4 linked regions of the Saccharomyces cerevisiae S288C genome follow. Changing the gene in region 1 together with any one later gene gives a genetic interaction. Each region holds a gene or a part of one and is shown on either strand. Other genes may lie near its edges.

Region 1 (3,347 bases):
CATAAGGCTTTGCATCAGAATCATCAGAGTCTACATCAGCTTCACTTTCACTTTCACTTTCATTGAAAAAGGAGTCGTCAGATTCTTGGTCCAATTCAGACTCAGAGGAGGAAGAGCTTAACAAATCTTCTTCAGACGAAGATAAAAGATCTTCTTCGGATGAAGAACTGGCTACATCGTATTCGTAATTAGACGAAAAGAAACGGGACATTTTCGTAGATCTCGGGCTTGGCAGGCTATTGTGTGAAGATTGCAAATATGTGCCTTGTTCTCCTTTTTTTCCTTCTATGCTACTCTACTAACAAGTGCAACTGCGAACCTGTAGCTAATTTTTCATTCCTTTCAAAGCTCTTTTTCTCATTGAAAAATTTTTCAACGGCGAAAAAAATGCGAAAAAAAAAGCTTGGTCGTTTCCAACGAGTAGAGGAAAGTGACAGTAATAATAATGATTGCGTCTCTAATATATACGTACTTATCCATTGCATGAAGGTAATTTGGGATTAAAATACAGTTGAAAGAGTTGTCAGTGTCATGGGGATTGCATCTGCAACGTCCGAATTGGATACGGGGCATGGTAGCTGAGCATCAAAGAACTCTTGAGGACCTTGACAATCTACGAATTGATCTTGATCCAGTTTGAATGCTCGAGCAAGAGTGTCCCACGTTGAGAATACCAATAAGATGTGGGGATTAGTTTCGGCGGTAGGCAGTGATGATAACTCGGGAATAGAGGTGTCTCTCGTGGTTAAGGGAACATATACTGATTGTGTATAACCCTCTTTTAAAGGCCCCTTCATAAACAAGTCTGTGAACGATGACGCTATACGAGTATAGTAGCCATACTGCGAGTCCAATCCGGTGAAATCACCGTAAGCTTCCTGAGGAGATACAATTTTCCTCGTTATTGTGTCGATGGTGACCCTTGCGTTTATCGGCACCAGCTGACTTTGTAGAGCCAGTGCTTTGCTTTTCCCTATATTAATATATTTGGTTTGCTTGAATACCTTACCAATCTTTTTGCGAGCCAAGGTGGGTTTCTGCATCTTGATAGTGAGGCCTTCTCTGTACCGACCGTGATCTTGCTTTTGGTACCTGGTGAAAGGAAGTGTGGATAATCTTGGTAATTTTGAAGCGGCGGTCAAATAAGGTCTGAATTTTTCGTTGAAGACAGTATTGCGAAGATATGGAGGCGTGACGAAGTATTGTAAAAGTGCCAGTATTAATTTAGCAGTGGAGATTTTTTTTTTGGTGGCATCGACCTGGGAATTGTCCTCAAGAATGACAACCTCAGAAACATTAAACAGCGATGCAAACTTGGCCACTTGGTACACCTTATGCGTGATTTGAGAGAGGTTGCGACAGTCCGATACCAATGTCGTGGGGATACAGAGTGAATAATGTCTGGTTTGTGATAGAGGTTTCTCAACCTTTTTGAACTTCCTCGTGCTGCTCATCAAACTAAGTGATACACAGCTTTGTGGTCAGTAGTATATATTCCTGGGACCGGTAGTAGTTGTGAAACAGAGTACTCTCACTTGCCGATCACAGCTCATCGATGGGAAATTTTTCATGTATAAAATAAAGCTTGTTAAAAAATCAGTTCGTTTCGCGTGATAACAAACAGTGCATATTTATGTACCAAGAATCCAAAAAATAAGATATATTTAGTATAGGTAAACGTTATGGAGGTGTCATGTTTCATGGTTCTTTTGTCGTACTATCATCTTCGTCTTCGTCTTCGTCCTTTAGCGCTTCACGGGACTTTTTGTTGAAAATTGCCCTTACGTCGTAATGCTTCTTTCTCATTTCTTCAAATTTCTTATGTCTAGCCTCCGGTGAGTCTTCATCATTCTCGTCGTTGGTCTCAAAATCCGGTTGTTTGTTCTCTTTGATTTCAAATTCCGGTTCGCCCAGGGACAAATCGTCGATGTCATCGTTTGCCACCTGGCATGGTTTTTTATCACTATTATCCTCATCTTCATCATCATCTACTCTGTAGTATTCCCCGTGAGGGTCCACAGCACCTTGGTAGGGGGTCTTGGGCTCGTCTATGTGAATATCTTGGAACTGCTTTTTTGTTATTTCATTTTCTGCTAAATTTCTTTGGTTCCATTGAACTCGCTCTTCTGGTGTCATCTTGGCCAACATGTCTTGCTCATGTTTCAGTGACAGTGTGTCCTTTGGAAGGAAGGTACTCGATGTTCCAATTATCTCCCCCTCCTCTTTTGTATTATCTAGTCCCGGTATATTCCTTTTATGTGATGTCAATTTGGCATTTTTCTGCGTATTTTCGTAAACTTGTCTTCTAAACTCTTCAAGCGTTTCTGGATCCTGTTGCGCCAGCTGCTCCGGCGATAAGGCTAGCGGGTTTTTAAGTATACCTCCCATTATTCTGCTGATGTGCGTTCTTGATGATACGAACTCGTTGTACTGATGAAGCTCTTGGACTTTAAGTTGTAGTGGTGTTCTCAAATTATCCTTTCGGTGGAAGTCATTTCTCCCTAAAAAAGCGTGAGGGCAAAACTTGAAACCGGGTAAGAATATGCGATAGTACCGTTTTGCCTCTAAAGACAGTGCTTCAGAGAAATATTAGCAAGGTGTCGAATCAAGTTATACTAGATAGGAGGATTTCATAATGAATAATGCTTTAAAATGGTTCTCACCTTTATTTTATCATTTTCTTCTTTTCTTCTGCTATTGATTTGGTAGTGTTCGGGTTAATTCATTTTTTTGTTCAATAACAAGAACCAAACATAAAAAAAAATACTTTAAGAATAAACAAGACTGATGAAGCATAGATCATATTATTAGAGCGCGTAAGGTATGTAGAGCACAGATTGGTCCTTCGAGTGTGATTATATAATTTTATATACGCTCCTTAATTTAAAAGCGGCTTAGATAGATTTTTTATACTTTGCTGTTGGAAAATTCCTGCTGAAGCAAAAGAATTTGCAATTCGTTCTTAGCCTTTAACCCCAATTTTAAGGCTGAAGCCGTGGCTTATATCATGGGCTTTGTTTATCCAACTTTTCACATCTATAGTACGCTATCTTTGCATCTCTTAGGCATGAATTGATAGGCGATGAGCAGAATGAAAAATGAAAAAAAAATAAAAGTACTAAATTGAGGCTAGTAGAAGTTAGGCAAAAACCGTCCAGAACCTCCACAAAAATAACTAAATACACATTTATGGGTAGTGTTCAACGACAAGATTTGGTCCTATTCAGCGACCAATCAGTGCTTCCTGCCCACTTTTTCCAAGACAGCAACTCTCATAACTTATTCTTCATCACCCATCAATCCTGTACTCAACCACTATGGATGATAAACGCACTAGTAGAAACGCA
Region 2 (5,925 bases), on another chromosome or scaffold:
CAATTCAGGACATTCGGAATACAAAATGACATATTCCCATTCACTTTTGCTAAAATCCAATTTTCCTATGCCAAATTTACTACCAAATAATACTTGTTTGATTTCATTTTGTGAAGCCCCATCAAGTATTGGAAATATACAGCCCACGGATTCTTTTAATTCATCTGGATTGGGAGGGTACTCAATTGACGCATTCTTGCCATAATTGGCTCTACTAATGGAAAAAAAAGAATGACTGGATTCAGGCTGTTCTATGTCTTCGACTTTATGAACCTCTCCTTTAAAAATATCAACCCACAACAGTGTACCGGTTTCCTTAACGAAGGTTATTCCTTCACTATGTATGGCACCGGGAACGTGATAATAAGGTTTTAAATCATGCAAAATAATTTCTTCAAAATCGCCAACACTACTCATTTTACGAAAAGTGTCTAGTTGCTCAATGCATATAAACTTAATCTAAGAATCTTACAGGACATCTTCATATATGTCCATATGCTTTGAATAAGCATTGGCTTCCCCTTAAAGCCCGACCGGGTAAACTTTCACCTAGCTGTTCTTGGCGACCATTAAATAATTTTGAATGCATTTCTAGGAACAAAATCAAGTGCAAGCTACAGCTTTACAATTATAGAATCTGTTGACCAAGTAAAATGGATGAGAAAATTTACGTACGATTTTGTTCCTTATCCATTCAGCTTCTCAGTTAGTCAAGAGGTAGCTGTAGCGGCTTAACGAAAAAGGTATTAAAAAGGGACATACTTTTTTTATATCTTTTCCTTTGGCGTTCACAGTTACTCTTTTAGAACTCCTTGTTGTTGTGTAATGCATTTACCCATTCCCGATATAACTACCACTTTGGAGAACTGTAGACAAAGACCGCTCTTACTGAGTATACATTTTACTTTCGTAGACCGACTTTTAACTCTATTAGGAAAAGCAATTGACTTTTGAACTTCGATGACGATTGTGCAAAATACAAATCGTTTCAAGCGGTGTTCGGAATAGCTCACAGAAATGGCGAAGATATGTTGAAAAATACATACCGATGTCATTTGTGAAAAACAAAAACACAAGCTACAATTTGTATATTTACTCAATTACATATACCAATTGAGTAATAATTAAACAAGAAGGCAAAAATAAACTAAAGCAAAATAGTATACCATCTTTGGTTCCTGGACCACATTTTCTCTCAATATTTTTGAGATGTTTTTCTTTACTTTGTTTTAAGTAGTCTTTCCATCTCCCTTCAACGGAAACAAGTGCACGCAACATGTTATTTTCCTGTTATCCGCCCTGAGCAGTTTTCTTCCCCGGGTGGCAACCATTCTCCAACATTAGACAAACTTTACAAAGAAGACACCCTACCCGGTTGCCTCCAAAGCCCTTCTTTCTTAACGCGAGTACCGCTTTGGGAGGCCTCATCTTGGTTGTGTCCTCGTATGGCAGCATCTGCCATTGAGCGAACCCTTTCCCGTTTTACGCGCATGGCCTAGACCGATCTTTAGCAGACATGCCGAGTGAATTTACCTAAGATTTCTAAGGACTCTTCTGCATGTTTCCGAAAATCACCGGAAAAACCTTCGGTTTTTTTAGACGAAAACTAGGAAGTTGCTTAGCTTTCCTTGTCGTCTTCAAATCTATATGCCATCGGAAGAGAATCAGAAGAGAAGATCACGACTTAAGAGCTTTGCTGTTAAGATAGCAAGAAAGCTTGCCAATAGGCAGTTATGTAACCTAGTTTATCTACACCTTCTTTGATTAACTTAGCTATGTAGGCCGGTGTGTTTGTTCATATCACGGCATACGTTAACACAATGTAAATCTTGCTTTGGGTTGACTGAGGGAAATAACTATAGACATCACACCAATGGCTAAGGGATATTTCGACCTCGCTATGGGTTCTAAATGAGGGAATGGAAAAAAAGGGTAAATTGAAAACAACCTACCGATTTTGGTACCACTTCCGTGATTTTCGATTCTTCAATTTCCGCATAATTTGCCTCAAATAGGAAATCTGAGCTGTTTTTTTCTTACCCTCGAGTGGTCGTTCTGCGGACTTTTCTCCGGTCCAATGCATGAATCCCTTTAAGAAGCATGAAGAAAAAAAAAAATAGCCTCTTGTAAAAGCAAAAATGCCTTTCACTATTTCTGTGTAAACGAATAATTTCGTCATCTTAGTAGTTCACTGGATAATTGTGCTTTCCAATCAGATTAGTTAGTAAAACCCCTAGAAAATTTCAATGTTAGATCGGGATGATTCCTCATCGGGTTGTTGCTTATTCATGATCCTTTCAATTACTGGAAGCTTACCGAAAAGATATATAAAGAACCGAACTTATTCGGTTTACATGTAAGACAGTGTGTTAGTTATGGTTTTCCGCCCTTTTCTTCTCTTGTTTTCTTCGATATTTGTTATTAACCTTTTCTCATTTACGATTATATAATCAAGTGTCAAGATTGTGTCAGCAAATAACAGTAATATTCCAACCCGAAAAAAACTATCTATTTATCTTTGGATACTTTAACATAGACAAGAAGTCCTAAGAACTTACCATAATTTTTTTTCTAAAAACCCTTTTTTACTCAAAACTAATAGCTTATTCTGGTTATTTTTAATCAATCTAGAATTTTTTTCTTTTAATTCCAAACAATCTAATAACGTTTAACCACTAATTCTTTAATTATTAATATTTAATTTTAAAAATCTTCTAATTTTCCTGATAACTTAAAGTGACACTATTTTTTAAAAAAAGCATCAAAATGTCTGATTATGTTGAACTATTGAAAAGAGGTGGTAACGAAGCCATCAAAATTAATCCACCAACCGGTGCTGATTTCCACATTACATCTCGTGGTTCAGACTGGCTTTTCACCGTTTTTTGTGTTAACCTACTATTCGGTGTGATTTTAGTCCCACTAATGTTTAGAAAACCAGTTAAGGACAGATTCGTATATTATACGGCCATTGCTCCAAATTTGTTCATGTCAATTGCTTATTTCACCATGGCTTCTAACTTGGGTTGGATCCCAGTCAGAGCAAAGTACAACCATGTACAAACTTCTACCCAAAAGGAGCACCCAGGTTACAGACAAATTTTTTACGCTAGATACGTTGGCTGGTTTTTGGCTTTCCCATGGCCAATTATTCAAATGTCTCTACTTGGTGGTACTCCATTATGGCAAATTGCTTTCAATGTTGGTATGACTGAAATATTTACTGTCTGCTGGTTGATTGCTGCCTGTGTCCACTCTACTTACAAATGGGGTTACTACACCATTGGTATTGGTGCTGCCATTGTTGTTTGTATTAGTTTGATGACAACTACATTCAACCTGGTCAAGGCCAGAGGTAAGGATGTCTCTAACGTTTTCATTACTTTCATGAGTGTCATCATGTTTTTGTGGCTGATTGCTTACCCAACCTGTTTTGGTATCACAGATGGTGGTAACGTTTTGCAACCAGATTCTGCTACCATTTTCTATGGTATTATTGATTTGTTGATCCTATCTATCTTGCCAGTTCTTTTCATGCCATTGGCTAACTATTTGGGGATTGAAAGATTAGGTTTAATCTTCGACGAAGAACCCGCTGAACATGTTGGTCCAGTTGCTGAAAAGAAGATGCCATCTCCAGCTTCTTTCAAGTCATCTGATTCTGACTCTAGTATCAAGGAGAAGTTAAAGCTAAAGAAGAAGCACAAGAAGGACAAGAAGAAGGCTAAGAAGGCTAAGAAGGCCAAGAAGGCCAAGAAAGCCCAAGAAGAGGAGGAGGATGTAGCCACCGACTCTGAGTAAATGCTTTGATCTGCTGATGTAGCAATGTTTTTTTCCTTCTTTTTCCTGACGTATTATTATTTGAGACCGAAACTTCGCTGGAAAAGAAACACTTCGATCCTTTTTTTATCTTCTGCATTATAACGCGCAACGATGAAGTGTTAATACATGAAAGAAGATGGGATTGGATTGTAGCGACCAAAGGCCACAAATAAATATGCACTGTTTTTAAATTTTTTTTTCATTAAAAAAATACGAATAAATTCCTTAAACACATACATCATTTTGCTTCAAATTTTTACGTTTGTAAGAAAGACCATTTGTTGTCTTAATACCTATGAAGCACTACTTATAATCTTAATTAAATCTAATTCTTTTCTTTAACTTTTTTTTTGAGCATCGCTTCTATCAATTATGTGTATACATACATACATACATATAAATATACGCGCAGGCTAAGTAGAAAACAACGCAAGATAGAATTACTTTATTTGTCATTCATCAAGCGCAATAAAATCTCTCTAGGTGTGCAGTATTGCATTTTTACGTTCTTGGAGGCGGCTATCCATTCGGGTCCGTAAGTAGGCTCACATTGATCGAACATATTGTAGAGATCAACAGTATCCTTGCCTAACCTTGCATATGTCCTAAATAGCCAAACCCATGTATCTCCGTAACGCGAGCACTTTTTCAGAGCTCTTTCTAACCATTTTAATGATGTTTCATATTGCGCTTCTGCATAAAAGGATACTCCAATCTCCAAAAGAACGCGATGATCGTTTTGTGTCCTTCTTAAAGCATCTTGAAAAATTGTTTTTTTTAACGAACTTTTGTTTCCATGCTTAAACAGCTTGATTTGCTCCACCCAAAGTAAAGCATTGCTTGGAAACTTTTGCAATGCCTGTGTGACGAGTAACTCCGCCTGATCTAAGTTACCAAGTCTTATTTCCATTTGGATTTTAGCAATGTAAAATAATACATCGTCAGGATTTTTTAACAATCCTCTATCTAAAATTGATCTTGCCCTTACTGGATTTTTTAGATCAATCTCGTCAATCTTTGATAGGGAAACCCATAATAAAGGGCAATTGGGCACTAACCTTGTACCAGACAAATAGGTTTCTCTACTCATTTCAATATTGCCCATGGAATGATAAATTTGACCCAGCTGTAAAAAAAATTTGTGGCAGATGGGAAATGATTTCAAACATCTCTCATTCAAGAATTTTATAGCCTCTTCATTCAGATCTTGGTACCGCAGAAAGTTTACGTATTTATAATATAATCTTTCCGTGCCACTGATCTTAAAATCCTCTAAAGAGGAGAAAGTTTGCTGAAAAAAATCTCGTAATTCATCAAGTTGTAGTGAACGACCTAATAACTTTATCTTGAAAAAGCGTAAATCCAAATTATGCGGGGCGAAATCTATAATCTGGTCAATCAAAACTAGTGTTTGCCTAGTATCCCCTTTTTGGGCCTTCCAATATTCGCTTACATACATCATTAACAAGCCAGGGCTTTTCTCCCTCATATTTGCTCGTATATCATCACTATTCTTGGTCTGAAATAGCAGCTCCTGGAAAAATGCTAATAACTCTTCAATTTTATGGTAGCTTTCAGTGGCCATTTTCAGTCTAGACCAAAGAACTGTATCACAAGGATCCCACTGAATAAGCTTTTTTAAGACAGCAATTTGTACCTTTGAGTGTGGCATTTTTTCTAATATCTGATCAACATTATTCAACTCAGACTCATACTCGCCACTTTCTCTTAACCATTCTAATATAGCGTAAACGATGGCTTGACAGGTTAAATTTGAATTGGGCGCATCATTTAGAGCCTCTGCACGTTTCAACCATGCTGACAAGGTCGCTTTGTACCCATTTTTAGAGAGTTCCAATAAACCCTCCTTGAGCAAACTAACTAGTTTATCTACAGGTATATCTGGGTTATTTCGTTCTTCCAAGAGTGTAGAGATAATCCAAATTTCCGGTTCTTGCGGAAGGATTTTTCTGAAGGAATTCAAAGTCATTTTAGCATTATGATAGCTTTGCAAATTAGTATATGCAGTCAAGAGATCCATACTTTGTGGAATAAATTGTGTGGCTTTCTCTAACATTTTTATAACTTGCGCTTTGTCAGCTT
Region 3 (6,589 bases), on another chromosome or scaffold:
ACAGTAGTGATAGTAGCGACAGTGACAGTGATTAACAATCGAAATGGGCTTCATGCCCTAATTAAGGAAAAAAAGAAAAGAAAAAAAAAATTGGGAAGAATGGGGATAAAAAAGATTTGTAACATTATAAACAAAAATAAGAAATAATTGTTTTTACGTACTTATTGTAAATAAAACAAAGGGATAACGGACAAAAAGGCATCGTTTCTTTTGTACTATGATTTACGCAAATGGTAATTAATTAGAGGTATGCATATAGTTTTTATAATTGATTCAATGAATTTTTTGTTATCGTTTTTAATTTCGAGTAATTTCAGGTAACCAATAAAGGATAAGATCACTTTCCAATCGTTCAAGTTCTGAAAATCATTAGAGCTGGAAGTTAATCCCATTTCCTTCGGCAAATTGGCAGGTATTCGCAAATGAGCTAATTGGTTAATTTTCAACGAATTCTTGATAAGCCAGCTTATCGAGTCCATGTTCACTACTCGAGCTCGATCTAAGTTATGAATGTAATTGAAGTTTTTGTTCATTATATTAAACTGATTGAAATTCGTAAATGTTATTGTAAGCATCTTATTAATTTCCAAGTGAATGAGCTGTTCACCCAATTTTTGTAAAGTTTCGTTTCTTGTTTCAAATGTATTTCCTGTGCTCAAGTCTCCAGTCATTGGTACTCGTACCAACATATTCCTGCTTGTGGTATATAGCAGTTTAGTTAGTTCTTTAGTCGGTATGCGTTCCTTTCCTTTATATCCGTCAGGATTAACTTCAAGGACTTCACACAGTTTTTCTATCTTACTAATATTCTTTTTCGTCACCGTGTTTATAGTTCTGATGGGAATATACCTGCGAATCCCAGATATTCGAGCAACAGTAGTTGCAAACACTTTTGTCCTCAACATGTCGAGATTCATTATCTGATTTATTCTTTTATCCTGCTATAAAGAAACCATAGAAGAATAGAAGCAAAGGGGTAGTACGTGGCACCTCCTAAAGGTAATATTGTACTATTCCTAGTTCACTCAAGGTCTGCCTGTCTTATTCTCCACATACATTTTCTATAACTCTTTTTTTAAGTTTGTTTTTATTTTAGTTTGACACTACATAAATATGTAAAACTATTTTTTCAAATTATACAAATAGAAAATTATGATAAAGGTCAAAAAGAAAGAAAAGAATGACTTGTCTGTTTTCCTTCCCTACAAACTCTTGCAAAAGTAATCAATCGAGGCCAGCACAGAAAAAAAATAAAAGATAAATAAATAGGAATAAGAATATAATGCGAAAAACAATAGTGGTCAGGTTCGGTCAGTTCTCTTGCTTTTTCCTCTCAGCTAGCTCTGCGTAGAACTTCTCTCTCTTGTTAATCTTATCCATGTGGAATCCCCACCACCAGTAAGAGGCCATGACACCCCCGAGGGAGAACCCGAGGACGATGTCCATGATGACTCTTCTCTTGATCGTACCAGTAATTGGAGCAATAGTCATGTCTGTGTAAGTCGCTTGTAGTTAGTAGTTTGCAAATATCTTGCTTGCTCTAATTCTCGGTCCTAATTTTCCCTGAAGATAAGAGTCTCTTTCATCGATTCTTTTAATACCACAGGAACAAAGCGGGCATCGTGGTAGCGGGCCAATCAGGTTGCAGTAAATGAAGAGATATAGAGGAGGACTCTGCTAAAGACCATAACAAGGGTCTGCAATGATCTTGGACTAAATAAAGGTGTCTTACAATCCAAAAGAGCTTGAATCATTCCTTTTATGAGCTAAATAGCACCGTTTGCACCTTCTGATAACGCTTTACGGGTCACGCGCGGATTTTGACTCACATAATTCCACTTGCCCATATAAAGAGGGACTCATATGATCTTATGAAATCTTCCTTCAAGCAATTGTGAGACAACAGACGCACAAGGAAGATCGCCCAGCATGAGTATGTTATCTAGAAGATTATTTTCCACCTCTCGCCTTGCTGCTTTCAGTAAGATTAAGGTCAAACAACCCGTTGTCGAGTTGGACGGTGATGAAATGACCCGTATCATTTGGGATAAGATCAAGAAGAAATTGATTCTACCCTACTTGGACGTAGATTTGAAGTACTACGACTTATCTGTCGAATCTCGTGACGCCACCTCCGACAAGATTACTCAGGATGCTGCTGAGGCGATCAAGAAGTATGGTGTTGGTATCAAATGTGCCACCATCACTCCTGATGAAGCTCGTGTGAAGGAATTCAACCTGCACAAGATGTGGAAATCTCCTAATGGTACCATCAGAAACATTCTCGGCGGTACAGTGTTCAGAGAGCCCATTGTGATTCCTAGAATTCCTAGACTGGTCCCACGTTGGGAAAAACCAATCATTATTGGAAGACACGCCCACGGTGATCAATATAAAGCTACGGACACACTGATCCCAGGCCCAGGATCTTTGGAACTGGTCTACAAGCCATCCGACCCTACGACTGCTCAACCACAAACTTTGAAAGTGTATGACTACAAGGGCAGTGGTGTGGCCATGGCCATGTACAATACTGACGAATCCATCGAAGGGTTTGCTCATTCGTCTTTCAAGCTGGCCATTGACAAAAAGCTAAATCTTTTCTTGTCAACCAAGAACACTATTTTGAAGAAATATGACGGTCGGTTCAAAGACATTTTCCAAGAAGTTTATGAAGCTCAATATAAATCCAAATTCGAACAACTAGGGATCCACTATGAACACCGTTTAATTGATGATATGGTCGCTCAAATGATAAAATCTAAAGGTGGCTTTATCATGGCGCTAAAGAACTATGACGGTGATGTCCAATCTGACATCGTCGCTCAAGGATTTGGCTCCTTAGGTTTGATGACTTCTATCTTAGTTACACCAGACGGTAAAACTTTCGAAAGTGAAGCTGCTCATGGTACCGTGACAAGACATTATAGAAAGTACCAAAAGGGTGAAGAAACTTCTACAAACTCCATTGCATCCATTTTCGCGTGGTCGAGAGGTCTATTGAAGAGAGGTGAATTGGACAATACTCCTGCTTTGTGTAAATTTGCCAATATTTTGGAATCCGCCACTTTGAACACAGTTCAGCAAGACGGTATCATGACGAAGGACTTGGCTTTGGCTTGCGGTAACAACGAAAGATCTGCTTATGTTACCACAGAAGAATTTTTGGATGCCGTTGAAAAAAGACTACAAAAAGAAATCAAGTCGATCGAGTAATCGAATTTACGTAGCCCAATCTACCACTTTTTTTTTTCATTTTTTAAAGTGTTATACTTAGTTATGCTCTAGGATAATGAACTACTTTTTTTTTTTTTTTTTTACTGTTATCATAAATATATATACCTTATTGTTGTTTGCAACCGTCGGTTAATTCCTTATCAAGGTTCCCCAAGTTCGGATCATTACCATCAATTTCCAACATTTTCATGAGTTCTTCTTCTTCATTACCGTGTTTTAGGGGGCTGTTCGCACTTCTAATAGGGCTATCACCAAGCTGTTCTAATTCGTCCAAAAGTTCAGTAACACGATCTTTATGCTTTAGCTCGTCATAATCTTTCAATTCATAAATATTTACAATTTCGTCTACGATATTAAATTGCCTCTTGTAGGTGCCTATCTTTTCCTTATGCTCTTCATTTTCACCGTTTTCTTGAAACCAAACACCGAACTCACTACGCATTTCTTTCATAGGCTCATATAATACTTCTTTTGACGTCATTTGATCAAGTATTTTTGTTATTGCGTCGTCCATCTCCCCATCTTTTAGATCAAATTGATTTTCTGCACTTTCTTTTCCACCAGATGCTACCATTTGATCTAATAATTGTGACAATATATCATCAATATTATTATTTTGGCCACTGCGTTGAGATTCCTTGGTTTCTTCGGCTAGGGATGTATCAACTTTATTACCATTTTCCTTTAACCTGTCTAGCGTATTGGAAACAATGTTTTTAAATCCCGGATTGCTACCATTCACGGTCCCTTTATCAGTGCTGTTACTTTTCAAACTACTACATCCTTGCTCCATCTGTTGATGAGGTACTTTAGCTGCCTCTTCTAGAGCACTAATCAGTTTATTAAAATCTTCTGTCTTCACATTATTCTCGTTACCGTTATTTTTCATCAAATTTGCGAACTCATTTTGCAAATCTACCATCATTTCTTTCAATTCTGGGTCCTCTTCAGATTCATTAGCTACCTGTACGCCATCACTGTCCTTACTTTCGGCATTCTTCTCTTTGTTTTCACTATCGTTGTACACAGAACCCTTCGCTTGCACATCATCGGGCTCTGCTTCATCCAGTTTAGTGGGATCTTCATCTAAAAGGTCATCCAAATCATCAAAATTATCGTACTCGTTTTCATTCATTACTTCGTGTTGTATGTTTGGCATTTCTTCTTTCCGTCAATACTTCGGTTCCCACAATTTGTAATTCTTTCTTCACTTTATATCTCTCAGAAACCGCGTTTAACATCTGGAAATTAAAAATTATTCCTGTCTCCATAACAAACATTTAAAAAAAGAAGAGAAATTTAGCATAGGATAAGCACACACTGGCACCATTTTTTGGAAGCAATATGAGTAGTTTGTGTCTACAGCGTCTTCAGGAAGAAAGGTAAGTAGTAGTTTTCCTCCTTTTATGCTTACATTCTGTAGGCATACACAATTTCATCCAGCGGTATACTAACAAATCGATGAACTTAACTTGTTTTACTTGAATAACAGAAAAAAATGGAGAAAGGATCATCCATTTGGATTTTATGCCAAACCAGTTAAGAAAGCTGATGGGTCCATGGATTTACAGAAATGGGAAGCTGGTATCCCAGGCAAAGAAGGTACAAACTGGGCGGGTGGTGTGTACCCAATTACAGTCGAATATCCAAATGAATATCCTTCAAAACCTCCAAAGGTTAAATTTCCAGCCGGATTTTATCATCCAAACGTGTATCCAAGTGGCACAATATGTTTAAGTATTTTAAATGAAGATCAAGATTGGAGACCCGCCATCACGTTAAAACAAATTGTTCTTGGGGTTCAGGATCTTTTAGACTCTCCAAATCCAAATTCCCCTGCTCAAGAGCCTGCATGGAGATCATTTTCAAGAAATAAGGCGGAATATGACAAGAAAGTTTTGCTTCAAGCTAAACAGTACTCTAAATAGAGGGAATCCATCTTTCCCATTCTTCCTCCTTTTGTACTTTATTTAACTAATGTCGTTGTGTAACAAAAATAGAGCAAAATAACATTATTTACAAATTCTCAAAAATAATTTTTTGCTCTTTGTTTCTTATGCTAAGTAAATAGAAAGATATTTTTTGTACCATTTTCTATAAGTATGGCAACTATATACACTTTAATAAATCTATTGGTTAGTAGAATTTTCATTCATTTTGTAGTGAATGAAACTATCCAACGTAGTAAAGCAATCATGGCATCTTTCTTTTAGTTCGGGATTTTTGTTTTTATCAACCATTTTGAATTGCTGCCTCAAATTTGGTACAACTTGGTCTTTTAGAATAGATAAAAATCCACCCCTTACAAATATTGGTTCATTATAGTCGTAAGAGGCATCCCCGTAAATTTGGAAAAGCGAATTTGTCATTTCTATCAAAATTTCAGGGCGAACATTCAACTGTGTTAAAGTTTGTATGAAGAACTGCCCAATCTCCTTATTTGCATCAATTTGTCCCTGAATCATAGCATATGTGCTTAGTACATTAATACATTTTTGTTGTAACTCAAGGTCATTATTATTTTGGAACTCTTCAATAATTCCCCTAGCGAATCCTGAATTGTTCAGCATTTGGACATTGATCAATGCTCGATTCTCACTTTCAAACGCTCCATCAGGAAAGATGAGTTTCAGAAGCGCCCAAATACAGCCCATTCTTCCTATTTTAATACTCAAATCATCTTGGCTGTCCAACTGTGTAACATAACTCCATAAGGTGGTTAACAACTCTCCAGAGAGCTCTGTTAGAGATAGAGACACAAAGAGCCAGATCAGATTGTTCCATCCGATCAATATTCGCGAGGTGAAGGTATCTTTCAAAATCATGAAAACGTGAGGTAAGAAATTTGTTAAGGTATTGATTAGCTCCTCTGGAATTGCTACTTCCTGTGATTCTGGTGATTCATATTTGGATGCAACTATCTCAATGATTGCGGTGATAAGATCAATTGCTATTTCAATGCTTTGCAATTTTATCATGGATTCGTTACGTTTCGCATTGTAATCCTTGATCTTAGTTATAACCTTACTGCTTTCATCTTTACTAGTAGCAGGTCCAATTTCTACAGGGTTATTAATGTCATTAACTAACTGTACTGGATCAATGTTATTAATGGAATGACATACAGAGTGGATCATTTTGTTACATTGATCATAAGTTATTTTCATGTCAAGGAATTGGCAATGGATACCTTCAATTAGAACTTTTGTTAATTCATTAGCTTGTGGATGTAAAGCCGGAGATAGCCCATTTAAGAACTGTGATAGAAGTTCATTGTTGGAAACATGATCAATAAATTCAAATGATTCGGAACTCAAATCATAAATGAGATCAAGAGTGGTATTGAACAGAT
Region 4 (7,559 bases), on another chromosome or scaffold:
TTCGCGACGAGTAATTGTTGCACCTGCATCACACTTCAAAACCTCCAGTCCAAATGTGAAAAGTAACATCCCTATTCATGAATATAAACAACTACCGGAAGATTCTAACTACATTGAAAAGCATTATAAGGAACTACAAGTATTTTTGAATGAGTTTTTGATTAAGAAATTAAACAAGACCTATGCGGATTTTGAAGGAGATCCAGACGAGTTGGTATTTCAATTGGAAAAATTCATTGAACTAGAAGTTACTCCGAGATACACAAATCATTCAGCACCTGATGGTTGTGAAGAGAGATTCAAATCCATCGGAGACAGGATAGTCGTTGACCGCTATTTAGATTTTGTGAAAGATGTCAGACTAACACTGCTGCTAAATGGAGGACACTCCTTCATATTTGATGTCATGCTACAAGCCAAAGAAGTATTTGACAAAATGCAGAAAGAATGAAGAAAGCTATAAAAAATTTGAATTATACTCATTCAGTTAGTTTTTTATTAGTAATGTACAAGTAAATAGCGTATAATATATAAAGGTTTTACGTTTCTCTCAGTATCTGGGAATGCCTTATTATCGATATACACAAGAATTTCTGGAAGAAATATTTCCTTGCTGCACCCATACAATTCTAAACCCAAACATGTTTCCCGCTTTGTTTTTATTCCACACTCGGCATATTGCGTCTATGAAAAAGATGCGAAGTGTCTTTGTGAAATGAGGAAGTGTTCTCGCTAGAGTCCGCCTGGTTCCACGCCAACCTTTCAGCGGGCAAGTCCAATAGCTTTACGTTTCCCTTCTCTGCTGCGTCTGTTGAAAATCTATAATCAATAGGTAAAATAGTGATAATAACATAGCTAGTACAATTTACATAGTAGCATTTGCTGAAGACTTAGAGGAAACGTATCAAGCCAGGGAAAAAGATGTCCACTGAATTAACTGTTCAATCTGAAAGAGCTTTCCAAAAGGTATGAAAGAATTATAACCTGAATGAGGTAATCAATGAAATATTCAGTACGGAAAGGAAAATTGCTCGAGGTAATATTATAATTTTAATGGGAATTTCCAGATTTATCAACATAAACGTTAGCAAGCGCAGTACCATCAAGTAAAAGTTTACTGGTGAAAAGCAGGACCTCGAATGATTGAGATTTCGTTACACAGTACGAGTAAAATATAAATTATTTCAAGAAGAAGAGAACTTTTGATCTGAAAATGAAAATGTAACCACGGAGAAATGTTGAGAATACATAAATAACCATGAGGCCAAAACACCTTAATATGAAGTATAACTTTTACTGTGCTCAATGACTATTTCACCCGACTAATGCCAAGTAAGGAGGATCTCCATCATACGGAACAATTTTCCAACCGCCACGACACAGTTAACGATTTCCTTTTCGCCTAAAAATAGTAGGAATGAAGTTCATGATTATATTTTAGATCAACCGGTTTACTAACATGCTATTTTTCATACAGCAACCTCACATCTTCAACAATCCAAAGGTCAAGACTTCCAAGAGAACCAAGAGATGGTATAAGAATGCCGGTTTGGGATTCAAGACCCCAAAGACCGCTATTGAAGGTTCTTACATTGATAAGAAATGTCCATTCACTGGTTTAGTTTCCATCCGTGGTAAGATCTTGACCGGTACCGTCGTCTCCACCAAGATGCACCGTACCATTGTCATCAGAAGAGCTTACTTGCATTACATTCCAAAGTACAACAGATACGAAAAGAGACACAAGAACGTCCCAGTCCACGTCTCCCCAGCTTTCCGTGTCCAAGTTGGTGACATTGTTACCGTTGGTCAATGTAGACCAATCTCCAAGACTGTTAGATTCAACGTCGTCAAGGTCTCTGCTGCTGCCGGTAAGGCCAACAAGCAATTTGCTAAATTTTAAAGAAATAAAATTAACAAGATGATATAATAATAAGTGGAGGATAAAACGTAGGACTTCTGGTGAATTATTTGAACCAAAGTGTCGTATATTAGGCTCTTTTTCTTTTTCTTTTACCAGACTTGGTTTTTTTCTCTCTTTAGTAATTGTTTCTATATATGGCTTATCAATTCTATATATTTTTTAACTTGAATATATGAATGACATCTTTAATAATCACATCTCGGCAAACGACTGATGAGTTCCACCTGCTTATTGTTTATTTCCTTTCGTACACGCCGCGCTTGGCCAGTCCTTCCAAGAATGTAGGCAGAAGAAATCAAACTAACTTGTAAGAGAAAGAATAAAATTCATTATACATATAGGTAAAATAATATAAATACAACGGCTCCATGTGTAAGTTGGAAATAAAAACAGTTGGCGTCAAGGAAGAAAAAGAAAGTCAATATCCGGCAATAAGTGAAGACAAGATTTGCCAAATTGTTACAGGGCTAAAAAAAAGATAAATGATGAAAAATAACGCGTACTATCAAACATTATTGAGTTTTTCGCTTTCACCAATTATATTTTCCGGAATTAATTTTCTGTTTTCATTGAAATATTGGAGCTAAAATAATCAACTAGCTCTTTACTGATTTCATTGATTGATTTTTGCTTATAGCCTTTGACCTTTTTCTTCATTCTTTCATAGCACAATTTCAACTCTAACCCATTTAATTTCATGCCAGGCTTCAAAGCTGCAAGTTCATCCCAATCTACTTGAGAATCTTCTGTTATACCTAAATCTCTTAATTTTTCAAAAATCCATAACATATCATCATCTTTTACAGTCTGAATTTTGGCAATTGCTTCCCTTTTGACCAATTTATTCCATTTATAACGACATTGAATACGTGATCTCGTACCGCCCATACGCTCACTGACAATGGTCCAGTTAATGATGTCTTTGAAATCTAACTTACCGTTACCCATCAAAGATTTCCTCAGTTTATTATTGTGACGTCTGATTGTATTTGACAAACTTTTAGAATGTGTGCTTGTTGCTGATGGAGCAGGTACCATTGAGTTCTGGGAATTATCATCGAGCTGTATACCTAATGAATCGTGGGGTTTGTCTTCGTCTTTGTTGTCTCCCAGGGATGAAGAAGCAGCAGCGGCAGCAGCGGCAATAGCATCGTCATCATCTTGCTGCTTTTGTTGAAGAAGTTGTTGTTGTTCTTGAATAGCAGCAGCAGCAGCTGCTGCTGCAGAAGCTGTATCATCATCGTCTTCATCGTTATTGCGATGATCATTCTGGTCATCTTGCAGTAAATGCTGTTCTTCTTCCAATAAGTTTGGATGCAATTGAGACTGTTGTTGCTGGGCTTCTTCCAACATATCGCTGATAACCTTTTTCAGAAGCTCTTCTTCTTCAACGGACCATCTATTTGATGCTCTATTGGTACCACATTTTACGTAGTTTCTCCAACGATCCCTACAATCTTCTGGCATTCTGCCTAAAGTTTTACCTATTTCTGCCCATTGACCTTCTTTTTCTGCACATAATTTAGCTAGCTCTTGTTCCTCCTCCGCGGTCCATTTACCACGTTGTTCAAAAATGTGATATTTTCTTCTCATGTGTTTGTAGATAGAGGAGCTAGATCTATAGGGTAAGACTTTGTAAATATTATTCCAAAAGTTGTCCTTTGGCCTGTCGGAACTCCATATCCTTTCACAAACTTGTTGTCTAGTCAAACGTTCAATGGCCTCATACTCGTTAATAAATCTTTCTAAAGCGGCGTCTTCGGCTTTATCAAAAGCTTTGCTATTGTTAGACCTTGAAGTCGATGGCGTTGCTGAGGATGAGGATAAAGATACCAAAGATGATGCCTTTGTGGCGGCTGATTGAAGTAGTTGAGATATTTCTGAATTGTCCACGCTGCCAGCTTCATTATCATGAGAGGGAGATTTTTGTTGGTGTGGTTGAGTATCTTGAGAGATAACTTTGGGCAAGACTTCCATATAATTTCTAGATTTGTTGAGGGAACTATCCAGCATAGAGTCTTTCTGCAGTTCAGAGTATTGCTTTGTACTATTTGATAAATCATCTGTATCATCATTGTGATTCTTGTTCTGATGATTCAAACCGTGTGTACGCATCAAATGATCTTTAATATGCTTTAATTTTTCGTTATCGTCAGTATCAGCCGCAGTATTCAAGTATTGCTGGAAATCAGGATGTTGGGTAATCGAATCAGCGTCGATAATGGCCTTATGGACCAGTTGATCACGATCAATCACATCATTATTAGTATCGTTGTCATCTGCATCACCCAAGGTGGTTAATTCCGGATCTACGTTTCCAATTTGTCTGTCATCGTCATCATTATTGTTTTTCCGCTTTTTCTGTGAATTCTCATGATTATTTCCGTTATCATGCTGTCTTTTACGCGAATTGCTATCGTTCGCAATACTGTTATTATTATTGTTATTTTTCGATAGAGTGTAAGCAGCAGCGACGGCGGCCATCGCCATAGATTGATGATCATCGTCCACACCAACACCCGCATCTTTCTTATTCTTGTCGTCGTCGTCATCCACGACTATGTCAGATTGAGAAAAGTGATTATTACTGTCATTGCCGTTGTCAGTGTTATTATTGTTTTCGTCATCTTCGTCGTCTTGTTGATTATGCGCTGTTTGCCTTAAATACCAATCCATAACTGCGTTATGTTGTTCATTGGAGTTGGCATGATCCACATTCGAAGATGATTCGTTCGCATTCAATGCGCTAATATTTTCAGAATCATCATTATTATCCTCGTTTCTATTACTGTCATCATTGTTATTAACATCAACATCACTACTACTTTCCACAATATTCTGCTTTTTCGAGTGTTTGTTTTCCAGATCCTTCGTATGCAATTGAGGGTCATGGTTCTGGTGATCTAGACCTACACCGACATATTTCAAAACAGCCTCTTCCACAGACTCTTGATTTGCGTTTTTATCGTTATGACCTGAAGGCATATTGATTGAGCTATAAATATTCTAATTCAGCAGCAACACGTGAGTTCAAACTAATAACGATAGTGTGTAGATAACCTTGCTTGTGATGATGTTTATTTATTTACTTTAGGTTGGGTCCACAGCAGGGTAATAACAGCCTGAGTTTTGTTGTTTTATCTTGTGTGGTCAAGAAAGCTGCCATTTGTTTGTCGTTGTCCTTTGTGAGGGTAGGTCCCTTGGCCGCCTTTGGTTTGCCACCCGGCATGGGCCCAATTTGAAAGACGGGTAACAAAGTTGTTGCTATATATCACGTGATCAATTTTTCCGAGGAGCTTCTAGAAGAAAATGAGACACAATTTCAATGTATTGAAAGTTTACGTAAAATTTATAGGAGCAGGTTGGGTATACTGGTGTCTATGTAAGCGTCAATGTCATTTTCTGTTTCAGCGTCAGTATCAGTATCAGTGTCAGTTTCCGACTCGAAAATGAAGGTCGAATGACTTGAAGTTGACGAAGGTTTTACGGGGGAATGATGACTTATGTTGGATAACTTGAGATCGGAGTCAACCCGAAGCACACTACTGAAATCTGTTTCTCCTGCCTGTAACAAAACATTTCTTGGAACATCGCGAACATCGTGCCCACGCTGATAGTCTCCACTATTACTACTGATAATGGCAGTGGCAGCGGCAGTCGTAATAATTGCGTCACTCGCGACGTAAACGCTGTTATAATCATAGAAACTTCGCTTACTTGCTGCGTTGCCAATACAGGGATCTAGTTCAGACTTTGAACAAGGGCGCTGTTCATCAGTCGAATTCAACCGTGTAGAAGGAAGCCTTTGTATGAAATGCTCATCAGTTATAATACACTGTTCAACGTTATCGTTAAATTTGATATGCCTCTCTCGTGGCTTGCCCATTATATCTCTCCTTTTGCGTGCCTTAAACCAGCTTCTCCAAAAAAGGTTCTCCAATCTTTGATCATTGTCCACTTTCTTGTGTTTTTGTAACGGTAAAACATTTTCATTTTTTACAGTGTTGTTCGAGCTTCTCACATGCTTATTATTTTTATTGTAATTGTTTTTACTACTACAATTGATAAACTTGATGAATTTCCATAAATTTAAATTCAAGATTAAACTTCTTTGCTCGTGAAAGTCGAAATTTTTCTTCTTTACTGCTGGCAACATGCACATTCTTTTCTTGTTTATTTTCCACTGTTTGGCATTCAAAGACTTGATTTTTTTTAAGCAATACGTACCATTTGCAGCGGCGGGAGGATATCCCATATCGTTTCTATTCATCAAAGTTCTGACCGCCTCAACGAATTTACTACTTTCTTCTTCCTCTGGAGGGTCCTGGAATAAGTTATCCAAAGAGTCGCAATTACTCAAAGTCATTCTCACACACTTTCTTGTTCCTATTTTTTTTTTCTTATTCCAATATATTATTTTATCAGAAGACAGACAGCAAGAACGACAGCCTAAGTTTCGAGACAACGCTAAATTTGACGGACATGCGAAGACATGCCATATATAACAGTACGTCCAGGAAGAAGCTGCAACTCAAGAAGCAATAACTATTTTATGCATTATTAGTTAATTAAAGGGGGTATGGTGTGGCTAAAAACGAGTAAAAAAGCAGCTTGTTGCGATGTTAGTAATGATAACTATAAGGTTTCCGTGTTGACACAATAAGCGTATAAATTTAATCACTCCCCCCACGTTTTTTTATCCAGTGCTGCCCCGCCACATGCAATCGGGCCGTCGGAAAAGCAAGAGAAGGACAAACTATCGGGCAAATGGCCTGGAAGGGACCTTCCCCATTGGCCCTTGACTATAGTCCTTCAGTCCTTCAGTCCTTCAGTCCTTCAATGTTACAGTTATACCATATCGTACTTATGTAAAGATATATACGGTTTTACAAATCTTTGATACGGTCGTAAAAGGCCTTCCCTTGAAGTTGGTGAACTCTTAGCTCGGATAAACTGGGAGGTCTGCCACCGTCGATTCCAGAAACACATCCTGCGCCCCAGGCGCAAGACCCGTTCACATCTTCAACGTCGGTCAATTCCTTGTATGCGTTCTTATACCCCAATGGGACATAAATGACACCATGATGGACCAGAGTACTCATTGCGTTCATGATACACATTTCTGTATCACCCTTGCCGCTTATTGCGCCTGAAACAAACAAACCGGCAATTTTGCCATGGAGAGAACCCTTTGCCCAAAGCCCACCAGTATTCGAGTCCCAAAAGCTTTTCCACTCCGCGGGGAAGTTTCCAAACTTAGTAGGTATTCCGAATAAGTAGTAATCGTACTCAACCAACGTTTCTCTTGTTAGGATTTTATAGGAAAAATCTGCATTAGTTTTGGCGACTTTGGCTGCCTCTTTTCCCTCTTCTGTCGCATATTCAGTTTTATAGCTGACGTCTGGCACTTGGAAAATCTCAGCCTCACCACCAGCTATCTCTATACCTTTTTTTTCATTTTCTGCTAATGTGGCAATTATATCGTCCACTGAATAAATCAAAATAGCGACTTTCGGCATTATCTATGTGGCGTAGTATGTGCTTATAATAGTGAGTAGTATGCTGGAGGTCTTGATGTTCGATGTTTCTCGAGAAAAGTGTGATATAAAATGTGGTTTCTTTTTATTTCTTTTCT

Evidence for each region.
Region 2: mutations in UPA2 (region 1) and YRO2 together harm fitness more than expected from each alone (negative genetic interaction), as found in Saccharomyces cerevisiae (one large-scale study listed by BioGRID).
Region 3: mutations in UPA2 (region 1) and IDP1 together harm fitness more than expected from each alone (negative genetic interaction), as found in Saccharomyces cerevisiae (one large-scale study listed by BioGRID).
Region 4: mutations in UPA2 (region 1) and REB1 together harm fitness more than expected from each alone (negative genetic interaction), as found in Saccharomyces cerevisiae (one large-scale study listed by BioGRID).

What each region holds. Positions count from the first base shown.
Region 1 is NC_001145.3:895,216-898,562, forward strand, and holds UPA2 (putative methyltransferase), read right to left. Parts: upstream 1,455-3,347; coding exon 501-1,454; downstream 1-500. Other genes in the region: NIP1 (translation initiation factor eIF3 core subunit c), read right to left, coding at 1-211; PP1-complex regulatory subunit GLC8, read right to left, coding at 1,699-2,388; Elongator subunit ELP6, read left to right, coding at 3,190-3,347.
Region 2 is NC_001134.8:340,335-346,259, forward strand, and holds YRO2 (Yro2p), read left to right. Parts: upstream 1-2,766; coding exon 2,767-3,801; downstream 3,802-5,925. Other genes in the region: YBR053C (regucalcin), read right to left, coding at 1-417; U4/U6-U5 snRNP complex subunit PRP6, read right to left, coding at 4,268-5,925.
Region 3 is NC_001136.10:332,906-339,494, forward strand, and holds IDP1 (isocitrate dehydrogenase (NADP(+)) IDP1), read left to right. Parts: upstream 1-1,929; coding exon 1,930-3,216; downstream 3,217-6,589. Other genes in the region: BDF2 (Bdf2p), read left to right, coding at 1-35; CBS1 (Cbs1p), read right to left, coding at 216-905; COX9 (cytochrome c oxidase subunit VIIa), read right to left, coding at 1,312-1,491; PEX19 (Pex19p), read right to left, coding at 3,344-4,372; E2 SUMO-conjugating protein UBC9, read left to right, coding at 4,582-4,619, 4,730-5,165; SYO1 (Syo1p), read right to left, coding at 5,367-6,589. UniProt on the Saccharomyces cerevisiae protein: Mitochondrial IDP1 may regulate flux through the tricarboxylic acid cycle and respiration. Its probably critical function is the production of NADPH.
Region 4 is NC_001134.8:331,910-339,468, forward strand, and holds REB1 (DNA-binding protein REB1), read right to left. Parts: upstream 4,910-7,559; coding exon 2,477-4,909; downstream 1-2,476. Other genes in the region: FMP23 (Fmp23p), read left to right, coding at 1-451; 40S ribosomal protein uS17 RPS11B, read left to right, coding at 922-966, 1,478-1,903; protein phosphatase regulator REG2, read right to left, coding at 5,274-6,290; RFS1 (flavodoxin-like fold family protein), read right to left, coding at 6,811-7,443. UniProt on the Saccharomyces cerevisiae protein: DNA-binding protein that recognizes sites within both the enhancer and the promoter of rRNA transcription, as well as upstream of many genes transcribed by RNA polymerase II. It is essential for cell growth. May stimulate or inhibit transcription.